Linked DNA regions of Sus scrofa. The protein of the gene in region 2 purifies or fractionates together with the protein of the main gene of each other region. This does not show direct contact. Links are inferred from orthologs where the notes say so. Each region holds a gene or a part of one and is shown on either strand. Other genes may lie near its edges.

Region 1 (3,747 bases), on a different chromosome or scaffold from region 2:
TACAAGCTAGACAAGTAAATAGGTTATTTACTTGTGTACAGTGTGTACAAAAAGCGAAGATGGGGAACAGAGCAGAGGAATACCTAAGCCAGACAAGAGCAGGACTAGACACCTGAAGGCTTCCTGGAGAAAGTGATTTCTAAATTGAGACTTGAAGGATAAATAGGAGTTGGCCAGAGATATAAAGGATATTCCTGGTCAATGGAAGAAAACGATGGGGGTTCTGAGACAGAATTTGACATGAGAGGAACTGAAAGTTCTACATGATGAGAGAAAAGTGAGTACAGGAAAATTAATGAAACTGGTGAGATGAGAAAGTATCTGATCACGGCAAGGCCTTGTGAATCATGTTAGGGTGTTCAGAGAGCAAGTGAGAAGTCACAAGAAGGATTTAAGCACTCTATAGCCCTACACAAAACACATTTGCTTTGGAGGCAGTATAACCTAAGGGAGAGGGGAAAATGGGCTTCGAAAACAGACTTGGACTGGAAACAGCCTTGTCACTGACTCATTGAGTGTCTTTGAGCAAATTACTTCATAATCTCTCTTGAAAAAAAGATATCTACCTCACAGGATCAAGACTAAACGAGATAATGCATGTAAGGAGTCTGGCACATCCAAAGAGTTCAGTAAATGATAGCTCCTATTACTATACATGTTTCCTCTTCCTAAAAACACTGTGAGCTCTTTAAAGGCAAGAGGCAAACCTCTTAGAACAAGTACGGTAGGAAGAACAGTGCCTTGGATCCTAAGCCAAGAAATCCAGGTTTGAATACAGGCACCTCGCCTTGCTATGCACACGCATTAGCATGTAATCTTTTAAAGTGTCCTTCTAAGGTAGTATTTAACTCGCAGAGTTACTGTACGGATTAATATGCTAATAAGTGATATGTGCTTAGACTACAACAGGACTCAAATAAATGCTGCCTTTTCTTTCCCCACCACGACCCGGCTTCAGTCTTTACTGGATTAAAAAGAGAAAGACTTTTGCTTAGGGAAGGCTCGATGGTCGGCAGCTCGTTCGCGGAGGCCAGCGTGGACTAGGAAGGCATGGAAAGAATGGAAAAGCAGAGAAATCCAGGCGGCAAAGTTACTTAAAGTCCTCTCCCCACTACAGAGCGTACGCATGCGCGCGCGCAGCCGCCGGGCACATCCCGATTGCGCCCGCTATGCTTCACCGCGCTAGGACTTGGAACACAGTGCTCACCCAACAGGCCAACTAGAGGACCCAAGCGCGCCCTCCTGCACAACGGCGTCAATTTTGCAGGCAATTGGAACTCTTCCGACCCTCCCGTCAGGAACAAGCCTACTGTGAGATGCACGCGCCTGCAAAGGGGTAGGGAGGGGAAGAGGACCCCCCCCCCGCCACATTTCATTGGTGGCCTCTTGGTGTAGATCCCGCCCTTCGTTCTGCACGCGTCGCCTTCGGGGGCACCCACTTCCGGGGTAGAGCGGAAGAGGCGGGCTGGTGGAGGCGGGGTCAAGATGGCGGCGCCTTTGAGGATTCAGAGCGACTGGGCTCAAGCCCTCAGGTGACTCCAAGTCCAGGACTGGGACGGAGGAGGCGAGGCGGGTAGTGGATGTTACCTCTGCGTTATCGAGAGCCATGCCCGATCCAGGATATCCATAGGAGTTAGTTTATCGGTTGTTGAGGCCTAGAAATATGTTTCAGACCCTCATGGTCAGGTTTTCATTCTCAGAAGAGCCGTGCTGAGGCCAAGGAAACTCATATGCTCCGTGTGATCCCAGAGGCAGAATAGGATCAGTGAGTTAGAAAAAGACAGGAAAACAGGAGGCAGGAAGACTCTTTGCAAGTAGTCATGGTCATTTAGCAAATATTTATTGGTCCTCAGCTATTTGCAAAAGTCCGAGTATACTCACCACCACCACAATAACTTTGAGTGTGTGATGGAATCCTTGCATTCTCCTTGGCCCTTAGTAGTCATGTTTTACAATTCCATTGAGGAAACAGTGTAATGCCTACCTTGTCTAGGTTCTGACCTAGATAAATATTCGGTGGAGTTCAGATGTGTTCTCTAAACTTAAGGGGTGGTTCCTGCTCTCAAGAAGCTAACAGCTTAAAAAAAAGTAGCAGCAGCTAACAGCTTAATTGGAAACGCACAGCAAACCATTTATTCACTTAACATATATTTATTGGTCATATACTGTGTAAGTTATGGTGGGCACCAGAGTGAGTACAGCAGTGTCATGAATGGTGCTTTTTTTTTTTTTTTAAATAGCTGCCCCTGCTGCATATTGAAGTTCCCTGGCCAGGGGTTGAATCCTAGCTGTAGTAGCTGTAAACTGTGCTGCTGCAGCAACACTGGATTTTTTTAACCCACCAGGCCACAGTAGAAACTCAGGCAAATATTATTACTAATAAGTTTTTCAAATTGAAACAGTTGTGAAGATTAATAAAACATAGTCTCCTGTGTTTAAGAAACTTACAGCTTACTAGGTGGGCTGAAATAAAAACATGTTACTGTAACACAGGATGTGTAATAGGAAGAACAATGACATTTATTGAGGACCACCAAGTGCCTTTGAGAGAACACAGTCCAGAATCAGGAAGTAACTTGCCCAAGATTCTGCAGCTAATAAGCATTTCATCAAATATTTAATGAAATATTTGAGCTTCATTGAGTCAACAAATCTATGCATTAAACACTTAATCTGCAGATATTTCTTCAAGTAAACAAAGTTTGTCTATGCCTAGATGAGATGTTAGATTAGATCATGTCTGAGTACTGTGGCCAAACTAGAAATTATGCAGTCTTTCTCACCTGCATCAGTAGCATCCTTTTTGACACTGAATGAGCCTAAGTAGATTTTTATCTCTCTTCATAGGAAGGATGAAGGGGAGGCCTGGCTGAGCTGTCACCCCCCAGGTAATGTCTTTAAATCTGTATGACTTCCCTTTAGAGAAAGGATTTACTACCTCTGAAAGAGAGCTTCCTACTTTCTCCTGGCCCAGACTCCTTGCACAGTGCTGAGTCTTCAAATGTTCTTCATTCTGTGTTGTACTGGTGTCATTCCAACTCCATTCTAGGGGAAGGCCTTCAGATTGGTTTTCAATTTGGAAGGCAAGACTTGTTCATGGAGGCATTGTCGATGCATTTAATGAGACTCTTTTATTGTACTCTAAACATTTATATAGCTTCAGTTATGCCCTTCCCTGCTCATGATTCCTAGATCTATAGCTCTAGTTCTGACCTCTCTTCAAATTCGAGAGATTAAGTAGTTGTCTGCTAAATGTTTCTGCTTAAAGCTCTCATAATCGTCTTTAGGTTATCAAATCCAAATCCTGAAAGCTGAGCACTTCTGTTGTCAAACAGGTTCTCGTTCTTGATTTTCTCAGGTTTTTTGTTTTTGTTTTTTTAATTAGAGTATAGTTGGCTTGCTTACAGCGTTGTGTCAGTAGATTTTCACAGTTCTTAGGTTACCACCATTCTGGGATCAGAGTAAAAAACCTGGTCATTTCACCCTGCCACAGCCAGTGCCCAAGCGATGTTATTGTTCATCTCAGTGACATTTCTGTCTTATTTCCATCCATTGGTTTGCAGTCACTGTGGTAACATTACAATTTTTTTTCCTTCTAATTTGTGAGAAAGTTTCGTTTCACTGATTATTTTTCATTTCAGAGACTCTTGATGTCTTTATATAATCATATAGTCTATTTCAATGAGAAATAGAGGTTTTTTAAAATTATGGTTAATTTACAGTGTTGTGCCAATTTCTGCTGTACAG
Region 2 (3,747 bases):
TCTAATACTTTCATGTCAACATTAAAACAATCTGAGGAGTTCCCATTGTGGCTCAGTGGTAACGAACCCAACTAGTATCCATAAGGACGCAGGTTTGATCCCTGGCCTTGCTCAGTGGGTTAAGGATCCAGCGTTGCCATGAGCTGTAGTGTAGGTAGCAGACACAGCTGGGATCTGGCGTTGCTGTGGCTGTGTGTAGGCCAGTGGCTACAGATCTGATTTGACCCCTAACCTGGGAACCTCCATATGCCATGGGTGTGGCTCTAAAAAAAGACCAAAAAAAAAAAAAAAGAAAGAGAGAAACAATCTGAGGTATTTTTTCAGTTCTAAAATTCTTTGATTTCTTAGTGTGTAGAACTTAGTGAGGCAATGCAATTCAGTAGAAAGTAGAAACTACCAGGAGTCAAATCCATAGTTCAGGCTTTGCTAACAATTACATATGTCTAAACAAGTTACCTTTGGGAGTTATGAGCATAATGCCTGACTTGCTTACCTTAAGAATTAAATAACTTAGAGGAAAGTGCTTTGTCAGTTATAAAGCACTATACAAATAAATTGTTACCTGTCGACGACAACCCACAACATATCTTGGTCCATTTGTAGCTTTAACAATGACTAGAGAAAGAAAATTAAAAAACAAATTGAAAACTACAAAGTAAAAAAAATGAATATACCTACACTGATGGAAGGTTGAGTTTTATCTCTGTTCGCCAAAGGACAATAATTGAAAGAAAATTTAGTCTATGCAAGAATGTTATCTACCTCATTACAGTTATAAAAATAATAAGCATTTCAAAAGATGGTGGTGGGAGGAGAGTCTACTCTTTTTTTCTTTACCAATTAACAATCTAATACACTTACATTTTTCTTCAGTTAATTGCTTAAGTACTTCACCCACAATCTAAAAAGAAAAAAAAAAAAGCATTACTTTTTGCCAAGAACTAAAAAAGCAAAGCAAATTACCATCACCCTCTCATCCCAAGCTCCATTACCTACCTGTCCGACACTTTGTAGGGCCTTCAGATCATTTTCAGACTTTTCATACTGCTTGGTAAGTTCTTTTAATTGTTCCCTTACTGAAATAATATAATTTGAATATTTTAAATTAAATAATCCTAGCCAGTGTGTTTGTCACTAGGTCTCACTTTACTTAAATTCAAGTCTATTTCACTTTACATATATTTCATATCCACTCTATCGAACCACACACACACACACACACACGCACAATACCGTTTGCAGATGACATGTTTAAAAACGAAATGTTGCAGAGAAATTACCACATTTTTCTTTTCTTGGTCGTAAATACTTACTTTGAGCACATTTTAGGTTACACTTTTAACAGATATTGACATTCTGACACTTTCAATTTGAGATCACAAATTCGAATGATAAAAGAGTTAGAGCCTTCCTCACTTCTCCACTTACCCACACGGATTGTTACTCTCTGGTTTTCTAACCCATATGAAGTCCACAGGTGCGGCGCTCCACAAAATTATATGGTTATGGTCTTCCCCCATTTAATTAAATCACTCAGGCTTTTCACTGACGGTACACTAAGAAAAAATCCTAACAATCTTTTCAGTTCAGGAAGAAAGGGAACTTTGTGTACCATGTAGAGTACTACTCAAAACACGACGAAAGAAGAGGAGGGCTATTATTGACCGATGGATCCCTTCTCTCTAAAGCTCTGTGTTGGGCTTTCCACTCCGCTAACGAGCCAACTTCCCGAGTTTCATCTCTTGCTTTGGTTTGCTTAACTCTTTTCCCCGCTCCGGGTCCCAGGACTCCAACAACACTGCACTCCTTACCTCAAACTGGGAAACATCCCTGACCCACTTCTTCCCCACTCCTCCTCTGGTCATCTACACTTCCATCTCAGAACTGGGGGTGTTCTCTCTGTCACCTGGACCAGTCTGGGCCATTTCTACGCCCGAAGAGGCTCCGCTTTTCAAGCACAGGGAGGGATGACAAAGCGCCTTGTCCCCAGACCGAGGCCTTCTCATTCCCGGTGCTCGGCTGCCGAGCTCGGCCAAAGGCCTCTGCTTTGTCATAGACAGAAGCGAGTTCAGACACGAGATTATATGGAAAGAAAGGTGCACTCACACTCCTTGAGACGGCCATCGATCTCCTTGTGCTCCAGCAGCTTCTTGCGGTAGTCCTGAAGCGCCTTATCTCTAGGGTCCGCCATGATGAGAAGCCGTCGCTCATAGGGGATGTCGGGAATGGCCATGGCCGCCTGGGCGGGGGAAGGGGCGGGGCGAGGGAGAACAGCCTCCCTGGAAGGGCGGGTTTGCGGGCGACCCCGCCCCTTCCGGTTGGCCCGCCTCTGCACTCCTCTTCCGGAACTTCTATGCCTCCTTCACTAGGGCTCCGCAGTGAGTTAAAGGAGGCCTCCGGCCACACTGTCCCCTGCTGGTCCGCTTGGGTAAAGCAAGGCCCTGATCTGGTGTATCTGAGAAGCCTTGATATGCTTGAGTCACTGCCCTCTTGGAACCACAAAAGGCTGTAGTAAACTGAGATGGAAGTGAAATAGAGAATATACATATCTCTCTAATATATATAGCTCTACTGGCTTCTCAGTAAAACAAGGATAGCTTCTTGGTAAAGAACAATAATATCCAGGTGAAGTAAGAGGTAGATGGGCCCCTGGGCTGAGAACAGCTGGGACTTCTTAGGTCAAGCAAATTGGGCCTTGTTTCTTTTTGGCACTTCAAGGAAAAAGTTAATTGCAGGAGCAGAGCTCTACTGGAGTAGAAAGATAAGATGACCACTTTAATCACTCCTGGGGTAAAGAAGACCTCCCCAATTACACATGCACAGTAAGATTCCTAGGGGGTCAGAAAAGGAGGAGGCACCAGGCCATAATAAGTCCTGATACCTGCTTAGCACACTTTGCTTTGGAATCCATCTTTACCAAAAGGTACGCACATATACTGGGAAGGGTCCTGTGTCCAGTCAGGTGTGAGAAATAAATAAGATAATTAGCCAAAGGTAAAGAAAGATCCAGAAGAATTGTGCTATATAAGTGATTTAAATCACCTCTCTGGTGTGCCCCTCACTCAGGGGACGCCTGCACCCGCACTCCTCTTTGGGGTGTGTATTACTTCTCTGCTTCTGACTTAAACTGCTTCTTTGTGTGCTTTCCCATATGTTGTACTGTGACTCTAACAATAAACTTTATACCTATTTTCACAGTCTTTGCCTCCCTGAAATGTTCTTGCTTTCAACAAGGGGCAAAAGTTAGGGCAATTCTACTTTTCACCTCTAGCTAGTCTAGTGGCTAGGATTCCTGGTTTTTTATCCAGGCTGCCCAGGTTCAATTCCTGAGCAGAAAAATAAGATCTCTCTCCAAGCCAACACTCATTGCTGTCTCTCCAAAATCACAGGATTTCAGGATACAGAAGGAGTAGGGTATTCATTTATTTACTCAGTGAATGAGGCATTACTAAGGGTTTGATCTGGTGAGGAGATAAAAAATAATAATTTCAAAGTGTAATAAATACTGTATTATAATGAAAAGAAACCATGGTGGAGGAAAATGAGAGAAAGATAGAACTACTTTAGGACAGATATCTGCAAGAAGGGGCCAGCCAAGCAACAAACTGTAGAAAAAAACCTTTCAAACAGAAGAAACAGCAGCTACAAAGACCTTAAAGTGAAAAAGAGATTTACTCATTTCTTGGAACAGGAAGGAGACCAACAAAACCAGAAAGGGGCGGGTCGTAGAAATGAGGGGCTCAAGAG

Evidence for each region.
Region 1: the proteins of PSMC6 (region 2) and PAAF1 purify together in Homo sapiens (affinity purification with western blotting; 3 studies listed by BioGRID and IntAct, with this or other methods). This does not show direct contact. The link is inferred for Sus scrofa from reciprocal best matches to the Homo sapiens genes PSMC6 and PAAF1.

What each region holds. Positions count from the first base shown.
Region 1 is NC_010451.4:8,279,740-8,283,486, forward strand, and holds the start of PAAF1 (proteasomal ATPase-associated factor 1), read left to right. Parts: upstream 1-1,406; 5' UTR 1,407-1,485; coding exon 1,486-1,532; intron 1,533-2,847; coding exon 2,848-2,888; intron 2,889-3,747. UniProt on the Homo sapiens protein: Inhibits proteasome 26S assembly and proteolytic activity by impairing the association of the 19S regulatory complex with the 20S core.
Region 2 is NC_010443.5:182,327,654-182,331,400, reverse strand, and holds the start of PSMC6 (26S protease regulatory subunit 10B), read right to left. Parts: upstream 2,332-3,747; 5' UTR 2,234-2,331; coding exon 2,107-2,233; intron 1,077-2,106; coding exon 997-1,076; intron 902-996; coding exon 862-901; intron 616-861; coding exon 563-615; intron 1-562. UniProt on the Homo sapiens protein: Component of the 26S proteasome, a multiprotein complex involved in the ATP-dependent degradation of ubiquitinated proteins.